Linked DNA regions of Caenorhabditis elegans. The protein of the gene in region 1 purifies or fractionates together with the protein of each later gene. This does not show direct contact. Each region holds a gene or a part of one and is shown in the gene's direction. Other genes may lie near its edges.

What was found.
Region 2: the proteins of alh-9 (region 1) and tpi-1 fractionate together in Caenorhabditis elegans (co-fractionation; one large-scale study listed by BioGRID). This does not show direct contact.
Region 3: the proteins of alh-9 (region 1) and F46H5.3 fractionate together in Caenorhabditis elegans (co-fractionation; one large-scale study listed by BioGRID). This does not show direct contact.
Region 4: the proteins of alh-9 (region 1) and agxt-1 fractionate together in Caenorhabditis elegans (co-fractionation; one large-scale study listed by BioGRID). This does not show direct contact.

What each region holds. Positions count from the first base shown.
Region 1 is NC_003281.10:5,855,353-5,859,689, forward strand, and holds alh-9 (Putative aldehyde dehydrogenase family 7 member A1 homolog), read left to right. Parts: upstream 1-1,856; coding exon 1,857-2,063; intron 2,064-2,112; coding exon 2,113-2,570; intron 2,571-2,618; coding exon 2,619-3,344; intron 3,345-3,392; coding exon 3,393-3,597; 3' UTR 3,598-3,827; downstream 3,828-4,337. Other genes in the region: cct-6 (T-complex protein 1 subunit zeta), read right to left, coding at 1-30, 79-142, 194-330; dpf-4 (Peptidase S9 prolyl oligopeptidase catalytic domain-containing protein), read left to right, coding at 4,280-4,337.
Region 2 is NC_003280.10:12,036,307-12,040,832, reverse strand, and holds tpi-1 (Triosephosphate isomerase), read left to right. Parts: upstream 1-1,693; 5' UTR 1,694-1,700; coding exon 1,701-2,018; intron 2,019-2,241; coding exon 2,242-2,343; intron 2,344-3,255; coding exon 3,256-3,579; 3' UTR 3,580-3,998; downstream 3,999-4,526. Other genes in the region: cyn-16 (Spliceosome-associated protein CWC27 homolog), read left to right, coding at 4,098-4,139. UniProt on the Caenorhabditis elegans protein: Triosephosphate isomerase is an extremely efficient metabolic enzyme that catalyzes the interconversion between dihydroxyacetone phosphate (DHAP) and D-glyceraldehyde-3-phosphate (G3P) in glycolysis and gluconeogenesis.
Region 3 is NC_003284.9:7,235,629-7,240,574, reverse strand, and holds the start of F46H5.3 (putative arginine kinase F46H5.3), read left to right. Parts: upstream 1-1,912; coding exon 1,913-1,951; intron 1,952-3,529; exon of another isoform or gene 3,530-3,673; intron 3,674-4,946. Other genes in the region: F46H5.7 (AMPK1_CBM domain-containing protein), read left to right, coding at 1-217, 267-488, 733-750, 990-1,070, 1,121-1,280, 1,324-1,412, 1,460-1,565.
Region 4 is NC_003280.10:8,843,841-8,849,412, forward strand, and holds agxt-1 (Alanine--glyoxylate aminotransferase), read left to right. Parts: upstream 1-1,757; 5' UTR 1,758-1,799; intron 1,800-2,389; 5' UTR 2,390-2,482; coding exon 2,483-2,539; intron 2,540-3,220; coding exon 3,221-3,379; intron 3,380-3,445; coding exon 3,446-3,524; intron 3,525-3,571; coding exon 3,572-3,680; intron 3,681-3,723; coding exon 3,724-3,922; intron 3,923-4,106; coding exon 4,107-4,234; intron 4,235-4,284; coding exon 4,285-4,380; intron 4,381-4,425; coding exon 4,426-4,684; intron 4,685-4,742; coding exon 4,743-4,867; intron 4,868-4,917; coding exon 4,918-4,924; 3' UTR 4,925-5,062; downstream 5,063-5,572. Other genes in the region: F46C5.6 (Serine/threonine-protein phosphatase 4 regulatory subunit 4), read right to left, coding at 1-179, 263-408, 599-646; oac-46 (Acyltransferase 3 domain-containing protein), read right to left, coding at 5,381-5,572.

The sequences.
Region 1 (4,337 bases):
AATCATTGAGGCTGTTGGATGTTGAATCGCCTGAAATTAAATAGTGCTAAACGCTGAATCTGAACAAAACGATCAAACCATTTCGTGAAGCAAGACATTTCCATCCTTCGTCAATTTGATATCCCCAGCTCCAGATACGAGCCTGAAAATGTGATTATAGTCTCAATTATACATTTGATCAGTTTATTCTCACATCTTGAGAGTTCCCTTTGGTCCGAGGTTCGATCTCATGACGTCTTGAAGTCCACGAGCTCCACTAATATTAAGCTCGAGAGCGGCAGCATGCCTAGCTAACTCAGCTTTCGGGTTCAGGCACTGGATTGACGACATACTACCTGAAAACAAGAATTCAACTATGAAATATCTCAGTAAAACCAACAAAAACTAAAAAACGGAGAAATGAGATTGGAAAACGATTCAAGAGGAAAATAGACACGCATAAAAAGGTTCGAGAGCATATTACAATTCAAAAAGGTTCTAAAATGTATTATTACATAACTTTTTAAATAAAAAATAAAGACTTTCAACAGAAATCCTTGAAAAACAATGATTCTCGTTTGAATTTATTCTAGAAAATAAATTCGCTTCTAAAGGCGCACACAATTTCGCAACTGGGTCTCACCACGCAGAGACATTCTACGCTTTTCGGGGAGGATTTACGCGGTGTTTCAAAATTAGGTTTTTCATTATTTACATTGTTCCGCAGTAAAAATGCCCCAATACACCCTTTTCGGGAATAAGACGATGCAAACGATGCGCGGCCGCTGCCAATGCAGCATCAGTTGCTGCAAAAGCAGCTAAGAAGGTAAGCGTTTTTATTTGAAAAAAATTACCGGGAATTCAAATTCTTTGCAAGTTTTTCCAAATTGGGATTTATTTGAAATTGCTCAAAAATGTAATGCATTTTGCTTAATACACTCTACAGTGAAAATAACATTTTAAAACATTTACAATTAAGTTGACACAATAATTCCATGTTGTTAGCTTTCCCGTAGTTAAAAATTGTGCGAGAGATTGAAATTTGTGCGAATATTCGCCTTTTCAACGAAACATATACAAACTAAGTGGATCTGTGTTTTTATTTGAATTTCTGGGAATTAATTTTATCCTGAAGTTATGTATAAGCCGAATAGCTCTTTTTGTGTCGAGCAAGCGACTGCAATTTTCCACAATTTCCATTTCACAAATTTTAGTGGTCACTGCATTGTGTTCTTCTTTATCATGGTTGTCTTCATATCATCATTGATTCGGAAACTAAATATATATCAACCGGCTGCACGCCTTCTTTGCCGCGAATACGCAGAATACTACTATTCCGCAGATCACGACTGAGAAAATGATATTTATGACAAGGGAATGAGTTAATATTAATAATCAAAGAATTATTATAATTATCACGAAGTGGTTTCATATTTTTAATAGTCACGTGACTCGTCATTTCTTCGTTTTTACCTCGGACTGGCATGCCGCATTTTTTTTTTCATGAGCTATGAGCGCATTTTTTGAAAAATGTTTCTGCAATCAGATATATAAAACGTTGCCTGCCATAAAAACACAACTTGTAACCGCTGTAAATCATTAGCCTTGTATCATGTTCCACGTCATAAAATTTACAGCATTCTATAGTCTTATAGATATTGATCTGCAATCTGTCCTTGAATTCCTTGATTAACAATCAATTTCATCTCAGTTTTCGTCGTCATAAACAATCTGCCCGTGTCTCGCTCCGCCCATACATTTCATTCAATCTCCTTCGAACATTTTTCAATTCATTCTTGTTTTTTGACCACTAACCTCTTCGTTTTCTAATACCTTCTGTTTCAAAGCGTCTAACAATAATATATTTTTGTTTCCAGATGAACCGATTGTTGAGCAGTGGAATGTCTGCAGCTACCTTGCAGACCAGAATGGCGTCGCAATTGCTGATCAACGATTCAAAGTACGGATTCCTGAAAGAGCTTGGTCTCACGGAGAACAACGCCGGAGTCTTTCATGGAAAATGGGCGGCGAGTGGACAAGTTGTTCAGTCATTTGCTCCAGCAAATAACTCCCCTATTGCTAATGTAAGTTTCAAAAACATACCCTAAACGTTTTAAAACTTTCAAATTCCAGGTACAAAATGGAAACGTACAAGACTATGAAATCGCCATCTCTGAAGCTAAAAAGGCTTATAACGATTGGTGCGAGGTACCAGCACCACGACGTGGAGAAATCGTCCGTCAAATCGGAGACAAGCTCCGTACGCAGTTGCAAAACCTGGGAAAGCTCGTGTCCCTCGAGATGGGAAAAATTTCTGCCGAAGGAGTTGGAGAAGTTCAAGAATACGTCGATATTTGCGACTACGCTACTGGACTCTCTAGATCACTTGAAGGAAAAATCTTTCCTTCTGAGCGTCCAGGACACGCTCTTCTCGAACAATGGAATCCACTTGGAGTTGTTGGTGTGATTTCGGCTTTCAATTTCCCATGTGCAGTGTATGGATGGAATAACGCTTTAGCTCTTGTCACAGGAAATTCTGTTGTCTGGAAGCCAGCTCCATCCACACCATTGACAGCTATTGCTGTGACCAAGTAAGCTCGCTTATTTCATAATTGTAATCACTAAATAACTATTTTCAGACTTGTCGAGGAGGTTCTTGTTGCCAATAATGTAAATCCAGCTCTCTGTTCCCTTGTCTGTGGAGAGGGTGATGTCGGTCAAGCTCTTGTGAAGGATAAGAGAGTCAATCTAGTTTCATTCACCGGTTCATCAGAAATTGGAAAGATCGTTGGACAACAAGTTCAGGCTCGTTTCGGAAAGCTTCTACTCGAGCTCGGTGGAAACAATGCTATCATTGTTAACGAGGATGCTGATTTGAACATGGTTGTACCGGCAACAGTTTTCGCCGCCGTTGGAACTGCTGGACAGAGATGTACAACCACGAGAAGACTCATTGTTCACGATAAGGTTTACGATCAAGTTCTCGAGAGATTGAAGAAAGCTTATGCTCAATTTGAATCAAGAATCGGATGTCCATTGGATTCCAACACAATTATTGGCCCACTTCACAACCAACAGGCCGTTGGAAAGTACAAGGCTTCAGTTGCCGAAGCAGTTGCTTCTGGAGGAAAGATTGAGTACGGTGGAAAAGTTCTTGAGAGGGATGGAAACTTTGTTCTCCCAACAATTGTCACTGGATTGAAGCACGATTCTCCAGTTGTTCTTCGCGAGACTTTTGCCCCAATTCTCTATGTTCTGAAGTTCTCAACCCTCGAGGAAGCTATTGCAATCAATAATGAAGTTGATCAAGGATTGAGTTCTTCTCTATTTACAACAAATATTCAAAATGTTTTCAAATGGATGGGGTGAGATTTTCTGAAATTGTGAATTTAAAACTAACATTTAATTTTCAGACCAAAAGGAAGTGACTGTGGAATCGTCAATGTCAACATTCCCACATCTGGCGCAGAGATCGGAGGAGCCTTCGGCGGAGAAAAGGAGACCGGTGGAGGTCGCGAATCAGGATCCGACTCCTGGAGGCAGTACATGAGACGATCCACCTGCACGATCAATTACAGCAAGGAACTTCCTTTGGCTCAGGGAATTAAATTCGAATAGCTTAGTTTAGATTTTCTGTAAATATTCATTTCTCATTCAATTTGAGATGTTTTTTTTTCATGCATAATTATTCTCAGTTCCGTTCTAAAATTGCGTGTAATTCAACTCTTGTCCTCTCCTTTTGTGATTTGAATTTTTGTGCCATATCATTCCAAATGCTTAGTTTTTTTTTTAATGTTTGTTCAATAAACTTCCTTTTTTATTCATTCCACAAAATAAAGTGCAACATATTTTCAGCATATATGTCATAAAATTGACGAGACTGGTGAAAAACCGTACGCATACTTGAAAACCGATAAGCTGATTGGTTTCATCACTTTAAGTCATTTCCTAAAACTATAAATTCAATTTCACGCAGATTCTTCTCCGAATCTTCCGCTTGTTTTCTGCCCCAACGCAAGTTTTACTTTTTTTAAATACAATTATTATAATGATGGCATTTTTGTATGTTTAGGTGATGCCTGTTTTATAAATTAAGAGTTTTTTCTAAAAATGTTTTTAAACAACTTTAAACTAATCCACTTAGAAAGTCTGTCAAATTGAATTTTATTGATTGTTTTGGAAACAAACAAACCTCACAATTACAAAAACGCTTTCATTGTAAATATTGACGAATTTATCTCGAATATATTTATTTTTCTCTTAAAATAACTATTTTTACAGCATAAAAAGTGCCCGAAAAATGGCAACTGAAGCTGTCTACGGAAGTTGGGATAGTCCGATCACACCAGATCTCTTCG
Region 2 (4,526 bases), on another chromosome or scaffold:
ATATTTTCCTGTAAATATATATTACTGGAACAAAATACTATGAGAATGCGTATTGCACAACATATTTGACGCGTAAAATATCTCGTAGCGAAAACTACTGTAACTCTTTAAATGACTACTGTAACGCTGGTGTCGATTTACGGGCTCGATTTTTTGAAATAAATAGAATATTAAAACTAAGCATCCATTTTGAAAATCGAGCCCCGTAAATCGGCATAAGCACTACAGTAGTCATTTTAAGAATTACTGTAGTTTTCGCTACAAGATATTTTGCGCGTCAAATATGTTGTGCAGTACGTATTCTCTGAATTTTGTGCTCCCGTAATAACCCTTCCCAATCGAATCTATCCACAAACACTCTTCTGCCATTCACACACACACACTACTCAGAACATTACAAAATACGTGCAAACTCGGACTGCGCCTTCTCTCTCCGTCTCTTCATTGTCTACACTGTATCGTCTCGTTTCTCTCGACTGCTGCTGCTGGCCAGCCAAAAAAAAGAAAAATAAAATCGAAGAAACCCCGCTATCTCACTTGTTGTGTAGTCTTGATTTCGATTGAAATTTGTTTCGAAAAAACAATGTCGAATTCGATTTTCCATTGTTATCTCTCGTCCTTATCAAACGTTGGCTATTGATCACGATTTTCGAAAGTCATTTGCGTCATTTTTAATTTTTGCCTAGACTCTAGAGTATCGACTTTTCACGATTTTCTTGTCAGTATTCTTGTCGAAAAGTGACTCGAATTTAATGAAAATTTGTCGTGTCGAGACCGGGTGTGTCTCAAAAATCGTAAAATTTCGCCTCTGGCTAATTTAGTATTCATTGGCAAATGTAAGAAAGGTATATAGTTCAGCAAAAATTCCTTTTGTGTTCGACTCGAAATTATCTGAAATTACCGAATTTCATAATGAAAATTCTTGAAAACTTCTCAAAAAAAGTTATGGCGGTACAAAAAATGACCTGAAATTAGTTAAAATTTGAAATTTGACCGTCTTGTCAAGCGGCTGGATGCTAACTTTTTGAAATCATCGTCTAATTATGGGTATATAAGTTAATTATCTTGCGTTTTCAACTCGATTTAGGTATATTTGAGGTCGATTTGTCACCAGATTTGGTTAAATTTGGTAACATCTGGGGGATACATCGAGCTTAAATGTACCAAAATCGAGTTGAAACTGCAACAAGAAATTAACTTGTATACCCAAAATTAGACGGTTATTTCAAAAAAGTTAGCCGCTTGAAAAGTCGGTTAAATTTCAAATTTTAACTAATTTCAGGTAATTTTTTGAGCCGCCATAACTTTTTGGAGGAGTTTTCAAGAAGTTTCATTATGAAATTCGGTGTTTTTAGACTATTTCGAGACTACTTAAACAATAAAAAACGTTCGACTAGACCATCTTTAGATAGTTAAGTTTTTGCTGAACTATATACTTTTCTTACATTTGCCAATCAATACTAAATTAGCTAGAGGCGAAATATTACGATTTTTGAGCCATACCAGGTCTCGAGACGACATTTTTAAAAATTAAATTTGAGCCACTTTTTGAAAAGAATACAGGGCAAGAAAATCGGGAAAATCGATACTCTCGGTTTCACAAAGAATAGCAATTCTTCTATCGTTTTCTCCTCCTTATTCTGAATTTCTATCCAAATTTCCCTCCAACAAAAAAATTCCATAATTCTTGTAGAATCAAGATGACTCGCAAGTTCTTCGTCGGAGGAAACTGGAAGATGAACGGAGACTATGCCTCCGTCGATGGTATCGTCACCTTCCTCAACGCCTCAGCCGACAATTCCTCCGTTGATGTCGTCGTTGCTCCACCAGCTCCATATCTGGCCTACGCTAAATCCAAGCTTAAAGCCGGTGTGCTTGTCGCCGCACAAAACTGCTACAAAGTGCCAAAGGGAGCATTCACCGGGGAAATTTCGCCGGCAATGATCAAGGATCTTGGATTGGAATGGGTGATCCTCGGACACTCGGAACGTCGTCATGTCTTTGGAGAAAGCGATGCTGTTAGTTTAATACATTTTGATTTGATCTTCGAAAAATTCGGGAAAAGATCTTCTCGAGACGCAGACTTTTCCACTGATTTCGCAAGAGTGTGCTGACGTCACATTTTTCTGGCAGAAAAATTCCCGCATTTTTTGTAGATCAAACCGCAATGAGACAGCCTGACACCAAGTGTCAATAAAAAATTCGAGTTTCAGGGAAATTAATCTGAAATTTCTTTTTCAGCTGATCGCTGAGAAGACCGTGCATGCTCTCGAGGCTGGAATTAAGGTCGTTTTCTGCATTGGGGAGAAGCTCGAGGAGCGTGAAGCCGGACACACCAAGGATGTAAGGGAGCAAAATACTGGAAATTATCGATTTTTCGCAAGAAAATTTGAAAATTCAACATTTTCAAACTTTCAGATTTTTTTTCTTAATTTTTTCGGGTAGAAAATCGATTTCTTCTAATATTTCAGTAGAAAAATCAAGTTTTTGAGATTTTTTGAAAATTCCAAAATGGTTTTGTTTCGAATTTGCACGTTTTTCGGGAATTTTTCAAAGTTTCTTCTTAAAAAATCCCTGAATTTTATAGTTTTGAGCTCAATTTTTCCTCAAAAAAAACGCAATATTTCTCTTTCTGCAACGAATATTAGAAATAATCGCTTCGAGACCCGATTTTTATGAATTTTCGTGAATTTTGAACAGAAAACATTTAATTTTATCATTTTCCAAAAAAGCGGAAAATTCCAACAAAAAATGGTCGCCAAAAATAATTCTTTTTTTTTTTGCCAAATTTTCAACAAAAAAATTGGTTCCGGCAATAAAAAAGAAAAAACTCCTGAAATAGTCGTTTCGAGACCCGATTTCTTATGAATTTTCTTGAATTTTGCAGAAAAGTTCAAAAAAAAATCTCCGAAGAAACATTTTTATTTAAAAATCTTCGAAAAATCGATTAAATTCCCTATTCCACGTGGTAAAACAAAAAAAGTTCAAAAATAATCGCTTCGAGACCCGATTTTTTAATGAATTTTCGTGAAATTTATATAAAAATACAAATTTAAATTCCCAAAAACGCGAAAAATTCAAAAAAAAAAAAGAATCCCGAAGAATATAAAATTTTCGAAAAATCGATAAAATTTGAAACAAAAAATTCCTGAAAAATAATACCCAATTCCTTATAAATAAAGATTTTTTTTAATGTTGTAGAAAAATAAATTTCAAAAATCGATCGCTTCGAGACCCAAATTTTCCAATTTCCAGGTAAACTTCCGTCAACTTCAAGCCATCGTCGACAAGGGTGTCAGCTGGGAGAACATTGTGATCGCCTACGAACCAGTTTGGGCCATCGGAACCGGAAAGACTGCTTCTGGAGAACAAGCCCAGGAGGTTCATGAATGGATCCGTGCATTCCTCAAAGAGAAGGTCTCACCAGCTGTCGCCGATGCCACGAGAATCATTTATGGAGGATCTGTGACTGCTGACAATGCGGCTGAGCTTGGAAAGAAGCCGGATATCGATGGATTCTTGGTCGGTGGAGCATCGTTGAAACCCGATTTTGTCAAGATTATCAACGCCAGATCTTAAATTATTATTTATTTCCCCCTATTTCACAGATTTTTCCGGATTTCCACTGATTTTTCACCGATTCCCCTAAATTTTGGTCGTAAAATTGGTTGATTTTCATTGATTCCCCTAATTTTTAGCCGTAAAATTAGCTGATTTTTCCCGGAATTTCAGCTTCAAAATTGTAGAATTTCCCTTAGTTTTCCCCAATTTTCCCCCAGATTTCCTCTAAATTATATTGTAAAATTAGCTGATTTTCATCAATTTTCCCGGAATTTTGACCGAAAAAAATCCAAAATTTGGGTGAATTCGTGAATTTTTTGGCTTGAAATTTGGCTTTTTCCTCTCTACAGTGTAGATATTAGTAGCAGCTTTTTTTTCCAGTATTTTTGATATTCAAAACCTATATATATTTATATAAATAAATTTCTTGCCGACAAATAACAAAAAATCGATATTTTCAAACAATAGTTACTTGTTCTGTGTGAATATTTCAGCCGGCGATTTTCAGATTTTTGCGGAAAATTTTCAGTTTTCAGATGAGTAATCAATATATCAACGAGCCGATTACGACGGGAAAGGTAAAATTATTGATTTTTATCGATTTTTGGTGGAAAAAATTGAATTTTCCAGAAAAAATGACCGAAAATTTCAATTTTTATCGATTTTTGAATAAAAATCGAAAATCCAGTGAAATTTTCGATTTTTCCGATGAAAAATTCGCGTATTTTTGCAATTTTTAAGCTGTAAAACGAAAATTTTGAGTTTTTTTTATCTAAAAATTGGCTAATTTCGAAAAATTTTGGATAATTTATTGAAAAATACGACCAATTTTGCACTTTTTGCGCCAAAACTACGTTTCCTGGTCTCGACACGACAATTTTTGTTTATTGCAAAGAGGTGTGCGCCTTTAAAGAGTACTGTAGTCTTGAACATTTTTTTAATCAAAAAATCTATAAAAATTCGAG
Region 3 (4,946 bases), on another chromosome or scaffold:
CATTCTTAGAGAATCAACTCAACTCCGACGCTCATGAAGAAGTGAAGAGTACCGCCGTCAGAGCACTAGAGGTTAAACTCGGCTTGGCCAACAATTCAATTCGTCAAGCTGAGGCTGAGAAGCAACAGCTCCAGGAGGCTAACTGGTACGCGAACGAACGTGTCGGCAAGTTGGAACAGGAGAACGGATATTTGAAGGGAATCACTGAACAATTGAAGTAAGGCATTGAAATGACAAGCAATTTTTAATTTAGGGTTTTCTTTCAGGGCCAGAGCAGACACCTCACACGCTGAAAAAATGCTGAAGGACAGCGAGAAGCGTGTCTGGGAGATCAACGAAGAGAAGAGCAAGCTGGAGTGGCGTCTCGGTGAGCTCTCCCAATGGTGGAACGATGCAAAGTGGAAGGTCGGCGAGTTGGAATCCTCTGTTGCCCTACAGAGAAATTTGCTTGACACGGCAAACTCGAAGATTCAAAGCCTTAATGATCAGTGAGTTTTCTTTGGAGTTGGGGTCAGAGCAATACGAGATTGAATGTTTCATGAATTTAAAATATCAAAAACGGCGCTTGTAAATCATTTCATTACATAAAAATAAAAACGAAAAATTGCATGAACATCTTTGATCACTTTCTAGAATTACCCAAAAAAGGACTTTATAAAAATCAAAAACTGAATAAATTTTCAAAATAACAGATAGGAAACTTTAAAGAATTTTTTCATATTTCATTTTTAGGTTAATACAGGAAGTGAGGTAAGGAATACAGATTTTATTGAACTACTTGTAACTTAACGTCTGGAAAGCAATGCACTTTATATTTTTTTTTCTGAAATTTGCGGAGTAGTTGAATTGAAAACAATACTAACTATGTTTTGTTTTTCTTATTTAATTTTTAAAAATTGAAACGAGTGTACAGTGTATTTGACGGTGTGAATATAGTGTTCCTCATCCAAAGCAATATTTCATTCGAAATCGAAATTCCAATAATTTAGGAGTCACTCCAGCACCATGACCATTCCCACCGACGGATTCACCATTAGCCAAAGCAACCAAGGAACTTGGAACCTTGCCAAGTAAGTTATACCAGTGGTTCTCTTGATATCACTATTCCAAGTATTTGCAGCGGAAGTAACCAGCCATGTTTCACCGGAGCCATCCCATCCATCCCACTTGTCTCAGCCCTGCCATTCGCCGGAGCCAATCCATTCATTTTTGGGGGAGCTAACGAAGGAAGAAATGTAACGTTGACCATTTCGAACACAGAGCAGGAAGTTTACTTGACGGTAAGTTTTTTTTTGCCAAATAGGTCTTCATTTGATTTTTCAGGGAAGTTTTATCAACTGGAAATGCACATTGAAATGCGAGAAACTGGTTAGCGGCAAGAAAGGAGTCACGGTCAATTTGACGCGTGGAAGGTAACAACATTCAAATTCAAAACACAAATTTCAAGTAATAATTTTAGACACGAGTTCCGATTCATGATCAATGGCGAATGGGCGACGTCGAGCGACTATCAACAGGTGCCAAACGGTTTGGGCGGACAGAATAACATTATTTTTGTCGAATAATAATTATTCCCTTGATCACTTAAATTGAATTATTTTTTCTTACCTGTCAACTTTGTTTCCATTTACTTCTCCTCATTTTTTGTATCTTTATTTCTTGTTTGTATTACATACCACTCCATTCAAACTTATGCAGTTAACCACTCTATTCACTAGATTGTGTTTAGAAAATTGTGAAGATTCTGAATTTTTTCGGGACTTTTGGCATTGCCATGATGTGAATGAATATTTTCGGTTAATATTAATTCAGATTTCAAATAACTTTTGTTCAATATGTAAAGTTTTTTTACTTAATTTTTAATAATTGGTTGTTTTTTCTCAATTTTCCGAATTAAATTTTTCAATAGAAGATGTTACATCGATGCTCGAGAGTATTGTCACAATTTTTGGTAGGTACTTTGCAGTGGTTTTGTTTCACGTTGACAACTACCCTCAATACATAATATGGCGTTTTATGAAAAAATTATAAAGAAGTTAACATATACTTTCGGGCACAATTTTTGCAGTACTCTAACTATGTACTTGATTGAAATCTCAGCAATCAAGTAAGGAGCAAATAATTCAATTAATAAGTTCCATCCTCTTTTATTTAAAATAGTGTTTTTGCGCATTAATTGATTAACTTTAGAAAAAAATCAACAAACAAACAAATTTGGAAAATGTAAAAGTTTGTTGAAGATCTAATTTTTTCCAAGATAAATTAATTAATTTACAGAAAAGTTTTTTGTCCTATATCTTTTATTTAAATGTTTTTTTTTTCAAAAAGTTAAAATCAAAATATTCAAAAATATTATGAAAATGTGCTATTCAAACTGACGTCCTACACGTTTTCAAAAATTTCAAACTTTAAAACACATTTCCATATTCACCACTAGAAAAATATATATTTTTTTAAAGTAATCAGGTGTTAGTACTTGGAGTCTAAAATTTGCAAAATTGAAAGACTTGAGATAAAAATGAAAATGACGAATAATTGAGAATGTGCAAGAAATATTTTAATTAAAGGCTTCGCATGTGTGCTGAGTGTTTTCAATGTGTTCCATCTTTGTGTGTGGCTTATTTTTCAACAAATTTTTTTTCGACATTTGTTTTTTTTTCGCAGAAAAATAATATGAAAGTTTTGCATTAAAAAATGTGTTGATCAAAAATCTTTTCAAAAGGTAAAAAGGCAACTTTATTTTTGTCTGATATATAACATTTTGAAACACCTGCAAATGAAAACGCAGTCAAATTCCCATTGCACAATGTCTATTCGATTGCTGACAAAAATATACTTTCAGTATTCAAATTAACGTTAATGGCTCTTTTTGTTTGTTTACACTCCCAAAAAAACATTGTGTTCGTTCGAACCAACTGTAATAGGTATGAGCCTATTTCAATAATTATATTTTTGTTTAATTCCAGCAACAATAGTTTTTTATTTGGTGACACGATACATAATTTGTTTGTTAATCTGGTATTTTTGGAGTTTATTCCAATTTTGATTTCGCGCAATCAATGCAGTGAAATAAACTTTGTAAAATAGAAAAAAAGACTCTGGAAAGCTTGGTGATTATGTTCATAGCTAAAAATATCACAAGTAGGTTGATGTTTATGTCTAGATTGAGAATTAAATTATCTTGATAAAATCCACCATTTTTTAAAAACATTTTTCTCAACTTGAATATTGTCTAAATTATAAATTTTTAGTTAAATGTTCTATTTTTCTACTTTTCAATATAATTTGTAAAAATGTATTTTCCAAATTCTCTTGTTTTAGAAAATCCCCAAATCATTCAATTTTCAAATAACTCGGAAAAACTCAAAGTTTTATTACGCGGAGATCAACCTTCCTTCTATCTTCCTGTCTTCTCATGTAACTTCTTATCCCGTATCCCTTTTTATCACTTTTTCTGACTGTTTTCTACTGGCTCATCACAACGTTGCGTGAGCCTTTGGCCGATAGAGGTTAACTGTGTAAAGCATGTTCGGCAACTTCGGGAAAGATGGATGCCGATGAGAGCAGGAACAGATGGCATTCGACGGCAATGAAATAGCAGATGGCGGTATGAGAGTCTTTTGAACCTCATCCTCGTCGGCTACCACTTTCTTTCTTTTCACAACATTTTTTTGCCATACTCTCCGATGGCCGGAAAACAATTGTTGTGTAATATCCAGCGTTTGCGTGAGCCACCGAGTCTTGTGTCAATTCGAGTAGAGGAAAAAAGTGAAGAGAAATAAATTACCCATGTGTCAATTGTCGTTGGTCAAAGAACTAGACTGAAGAAACAAGAAAACGACCCAGAACCAGGAAATAACACGAGAAATGATGAACCTGTTATTTAGAGGAAGAAGAACCGTTCGAAATTGTTGCTCAAAGAGACAAAAAATAGTCTGAAAATGGTGCATTCCATTATGAGACTTTTCAAAAATCTCTCGGACACATTGTTGCAGTCTAAAAGTAACGTGGGTGAACGCAGAAAAAATCTTCAATTTTTCCATATGGATGTGTCGGCTGGATAAAAAGCAGGGCTACATGTAGATATGCATAACAAGTGAAGTCTAACAAGTTGTTTTTGGCGATAAATGCTGAATCGCAAGCCACTCACAAACTAATTATTTTATGGAAGTACAGAAAAAAAATTATTCAATGCCACGAGATTTGAGAAGAAATCAAAATTTTAAAAATTGGACTTTTGCACACCTTTCAATTTTTTGTGTGTTTTTTTTTAAGTGGAAAATCTAACGAGTAACTGAAAGTAAATATCTTTTCGAACAATTGAAATGAGAAAGTGTATAAGTATTGAAAAATCTTTTTTTTTAACTTTGATTACTTTTGCTTCTCGAGTTAATAATGGGTAAATTTACAGATTTGTCATAACATACAACTTGTGCTTGTTTCAAGCAAAATGTTTGAAACTTAATAATTTTTGGCAATCGAACCAATCGAGAATTACCTTTTTCAGTTTTGCACACCCCACTTTAATAGTATTTTTTCACCTCGGCACATCTTGAAATTGTAGTAATAATAATTCAGTACAGAAATAAAAGAAAAAGGTTAAGTTTGTTGTGAATTATACATTTTTACATAGGACACAAAAGAAATAAAATCCCCCGAAGATTAATAATGGTGCGTTTATTAATAGAGGTTATAATGTTTTTTTTCAACAGCGCATAACTGTGTGTGTGTTTCAATTTTTTTTTTAATTTTGTAGCGAGGCAATTGAAAATATTTATTCAGATAGTATTATTTTCCAAAATGAAAGGATGAAACCGTGGGGAGGAGGCGTGAAAATAGATAATCCTTGTTGTGATTAGTGGCACATTCAAATATATTCGATAAGCCGTATTTGGGACAATGGTTGCCAAGACGACGAATACCTGAATTTTATCCAAATCTGAACG
Region 4 (5,572 bases), on another chromosome or scaffold:
GAATAATTGACTTATAGACAACTGCAGCTTCACAGTGAAGGTCTAGGTTTGATTTTTCAATTTTCAAACATTTTTGAATTGCTGGTAGCATTTTTAGAAGGCACTTTTCTCCGTCGGAGGTGTCCAGAATGTCAGGAAATGTGCGAATTGATGTGAGCTTTTGAATTTCAGTTCCGTCTCTGAAAATTTTATGGTATGAACGATTTCCTTTTTTACAAAATGTCGAAAAATCAATTTTGATTTTTTAATTAATAAATCTTACTCTAAATTGATTAGAGCCTGATCCAATGGTGATCTTAGCAATTCCTCAAGATCTGGATCTTCTGCCATTTTGAATAGTTTTTCGAAATCCAACTTCATTACAGGAGGTTCTTTTTCTTCTGTCTCGTCATCTTCAATTTGATCATGCTGGAAAACAAAACGAATTCTATAAAATCTTTTCTGAAGAAATTTTGGTGTGAAAGCCGTTTTAAGTAGGCAACTACTGCAAAAATTTAGTATATTTTCCAATGCCTAATTTCATTACTCATTACTCATTTTCACAATCAAAAACTTAAATTTCTAAATCTCGTTTTTTATCATTACAATTATGCCTTACTTTAATATCAACTATAGATTCTCCATCCATTTCTGTGGCAGCGACCATTGAAATGTTGGAAAATGTGATTAGAATATCTGAAATTTTTCGAAAATCAATTTACAATAAGATGAGACAAAGAGCAACACGAGAGAGAGATAAGATAAACGAAAAAAGAAAAGAGTCAACAGTTTGAACGTCCCGCCTTTTTTTCGCATGATCCATCAAGAGGTAGGGGCAGCTCTTTAGATGCATTTTTGTTCGGCAAACAAATGAAACACATTTTCAAAATGGTTTGCGTTGGGCAAGAAAGTTTGAAAGTGTGGTTAGATATGACGAGTGATCTAGAATGATGCAGAAACAACATGATTCTTCAATAATACAAACTCTTTTTGCTTTGGAATGTAGAGGAGGTGGAGGAGAAGCAGGAAGAGGCAGCTGTGACTCCCGGGCGATGAGCAACTATCTCTATCCTCTCGAAACATTCAAAATGATTGGTGAGACGCAGACATCAAGTCGGTGTGTAAAGATATTCGGCCAAGAGGATCGGGATCGAAGGGCACGCTTGTGATCCAGTGTGAGAAGTTAAAAGCGAGGGAGGAGATGAAGAAATGAAGACGAAAAAGCTCAAAGGATGAAGCTGAAGAAAAAAAAGATAGAGAAAGATAGTGTTCACAGCAAAAACAGACACTGAAACCGGAGAGCTTCAAAGATCACGAGACATCACAAATTTGAGTTGACCTGTAATTGAATCCAACTCGATTTCGAAAAACCTGAGCAGTTTTCTTATTTTTATCAATAAAATGTGCAATTGTTCAAAACATTTCAAAATGTGCAATAAACTCGTGTGATCTGGAAAGTGTTCTTCACGAATCAGTACTTTCCGAATTCTCAAGGTATCTCCAGGCATACAAGTGAATTGGCTGAAAAACTCATTTATAGATTTGGGTAAAGAAAAATGTGAGGAGATTTCAGACGAAGCTAGGCGAAATTCAAGGAATAAGATGTAGAAGCTAAATTTGAAAATGTTCAGAAGTTAATATCTCAAAGCTTTATTATTTTTCCAAAGTTAACACAAACCAATGAACTTTTAAATATTAATTTCTAAATTTATTCATCGTATCAATTTCTGTAGACGTGAAATGCTATTTTCATGGAAATGAAACTAGAAAAAAAATTTATTCCGAAGTCTAAACTTCTCTGGATCTGCTCGTTGTTCGAGGTAAAGTTCAAATTAAACTCTCTTGAAGTTGGTAATCTTTCTCGATTTGTATTGTTTTGAGTAAGATAAGTTGGTAGTCCTTAAATTTTCTAGTTTCATTATTTGGTAGACAATTTTGAAAAATGTTTTAATGTTTTTTTGTAGCCATCTGACTAATTCCACGTCATTGATTAGACCACTTTAGTTCCCATTATAGCTTATTGTTCGCACTTTATTAAAATTTTAACTGATTTTTAAACTGTGTATTTAAAAAATTCCACTAGTTTTTTTCGGATGATCTCCTAAATCTTGAAACGTTATTTTCTAGATTAACGGAAATGTGCCAATGAACTATCCATAAAAATTATGCTCAAACCAAATTGCAAAAAAGTGTTGTTTTCCACTCAATTTCCATAAACTATAAAATAACCACGAGGTTTTCCCCAGTGCACTTTCAAGTGTTTCTTTGAACTCTTCTCTAAAAATTGACCGATCTCTGGGTGTCTTCTCGTTATCATTTATACCATCGACTGGTCATTTATACATTGTGATAAAATAGCCCCTCAGTCAGTCAGTCAGTCAGTGAAAATGAAAGAACAATGTACTTTGAGGAGTCACAGAGATATTTGCCGCCTGCAGGACAACCTCCTCAAGTTTTCTTCTCTACCTCAATATTCTTCCTCAATTGATTTAATTTCGAAGATATGATTTCAACGCGATTTCTAAGACCTTCAGTCTCGATTTTTGGATTTGGAATTAAGGTGAGTTCAATTGGTTCAAAAATAATAGGTTTATTGAGTACACAAATTGGAACCGCCTCTGAGAGTTTATTGTCATCATACATCAACATATGTGTTATCATTGATGAAACTGTTCATTGATACAATCTTTTTAGTTACTGCAATTATTTTATATTTATATGCCATTGTTCATTAAAAAAAGTTTTTGAAGGTTTTTTCCTTAAAAAAAATTATCTAACAGCATGAAAATTATGTCTTTCGAGTTCAAACTCTAAAATCATGTACTTGATTTTTACAGTATTTGGTGAAAAAAAAACCCACTTTGATTTATGGAAAATTTCTAACCATCTAGTATGCCGTTTGGCATTCGACCCTTCAACCCTTCTCCCCTAGACATCAAACCAATTCTTGACCATTTGGACACACCGTTCAATCTCCTCTTGACCAATTGGTTTCTCTGTGTCTCTACTCCATTCTACATGCAAATAGAGCGCATTTCATATTAGTTCCATGTCAGTACTGCGAAATGGAAAACATTTTAGTTAAATTTAAGATCAGTTTTTCGTTAATGTTTTGTTTTTAATAACATTTGTTTTGAGAACCACGTGTTGAACGACCTTTTAGTTATTATATTCTCAAATTATCACTTCCAAATCGATTACCATGTTCTTCGAGTATTTATGTATTTTACTTTTTTTCCAGTCATCAATGTCGTCTCGTGCTCCACCAAAAGCTCTTCTGCAAGATATGGTTGTCCCACCGCGGCAACTTTTTGGACCAGGACCATCGAACATGGCTGATTCGATTGCTGAGACCCAATCTCGCAATTTGTTAGGACACTTGCATCCAGAATTTGTTCAGGTATCTTTTTATGTTTTGTTGGAAAAATAGTAAATCGAAAACTAATTCATAAAGCTTTAATTTCAGATTATGGCAGATGTTCGTCTGGGTCTTCAGTATGTCTTCAAAACCGACAATAAGTATACGTTTGCTGTCAGTGGAACTGGTTAGTGTGCATATATCAACTTTCTCAATATCAAATCTAATATTCAGGTCATTCTGGAATGGAATGCGCGATGGTTAATCTTCTCGAGCCCGGGGACAAATTCCTTGTAGTAGAAATTGGACTTTGGGGACAAAGAGCTGCTGATTTGGCTAATAGGTTTTTAAAATCAATATTCTTGTTACAAATTAAAAATTGATAGAATGGGAATCGAAGTTAAGAAGATTACTGCTCCGCAGGGGCAAGCAGTTCCAGTTGAGGATATCAGAAAGGCAATTGCTGATTACAAACCAAATTTGGTTTTTGTCTGTCAGGGAGATAGTTCAACGGGAGTTGCTCAACCATTGGAAACAATTGGAGATGCTTGCAGAGAGCATGGTGCTCTGTTCCTTGTTGATACGGTTTGTGGTTTTTTTTAACTTTCTCGATCCTCACCATTTATTTATAAATCTTACAATGTTTCAAAAATTAACGGTTTTGTTTCTGAAAAGTTTAAGGTGTTTTTTAATGTAGTAAAATTGAAATTTGCCGAACGAGTCTCAAAATTGAAAATAGATGTTTAATGATCAAAGTTTTCATTTTCAGGTGGCGTCCCTCGGTGGAACTCCATTTGCAGCAGATGATCTGAAAGTTGATTGTGTCTATTCGGCAACCCAGAAAGTTCTCAACGCTCCACCAGGACTTGCGCCTATCTCATTCTCCGATCGAGCCATGTAAGAATAAGAAACAAAACACATATAGTTGCATTCCTCTTCATTTTTAGGGAAAAAATCCGGAACCGAAAACAACGCGTCGCCTCGTTCTACTTTGATGCCATCGAATTGGGCAACTATTGGGGTTGTGATGGAGAATTGAAAAGGTTGGAAAAAACTATGAAATGATGAAATTTATTGAAAAATTTCAGATATCACCACACTGCTCCAATCTCCACTGTATATGCTCTTCGTGCAGCACTTTCTGCAATTGCAAAAGAAGGAATTGATGAATCAATCCAAAGACATAAAGATAATGCTCAAGTGTTGTATGCTACTCTGAAAAAGCATGGATTGGAACCATTTGTAGTGGATGAGAAATTGAGATTGCCATGTTTGACTACTGTGAAAGTACCGGAGGGTGTTGACTGGAAAGATGTTGCTGGAAAAATGATGACAAATGGAACGGAGGTAAATTCGAAAATCCACCAATTTGAAGTTTGAAAACCGTAACTTGTTTTAATTTTAGATTGCTGGAGGACTTGGTGCAACTGTTGGTAAAATCTGGAGAATCGGAACGTTTGGAATTAACTCGAATTCGACAAAAATCGAAAATGTTGTGGAACTTTTGTCGAAATCAATTGGAGAGAAAAGGTCAAAAATTTAATTGATCCGTTTCCTTATCAAATTATTTATATTTTCAGCAAGTAGATCCATCAGTCGTAGATCCATCAATTTGTGATTTCATGCTAATTTATGATTTATTGTAATTTCGTATGCGTTTTGTATGAACATTTTAAATTTATTTAATGTTTTTATGGGTTTTAATTTGAATGAACAAAAAACAAGAATTTCTATTTACATGATAAAAATAGAAGAAGCGAAGGAAAAACAGTCGATGACCGGGGGAATAATCAATTACTGAAAGACCATCAAGAAAGAAGAACAGAAAAATTTCAACTAATCTAAAAGAAATGTAAAGCAAATGAAAGAGGAGCTAACAAATGAAAAAGTGAATGGCGGAATGAAATGAAACAATTTAAGAAATGAATGAGACTACTCGTAATGAATTCGGGTTGACAAGGAAATGATCACCCACTATTTACCTCAAATGTCCCGTGCCTGATGAAAATGAATTTTTGAGTCAAAAATTAAAACAATTAGAAATTAAGCCTTATCGGAAGGCTTTAATTGAATTTCCGAATCTGTTGGTGGACTCGGTTTGAGTGTAGTTTTTGGTGGAGAGGCAAGCAATAACCTTTCGATATTCAGAGCTGGAAGTTCACTGACCATTGTGCATATTATGGCAAAGAAATATGTAATGAGAAGTTGAACAAAACAATGAATGAAGAGTGGAAT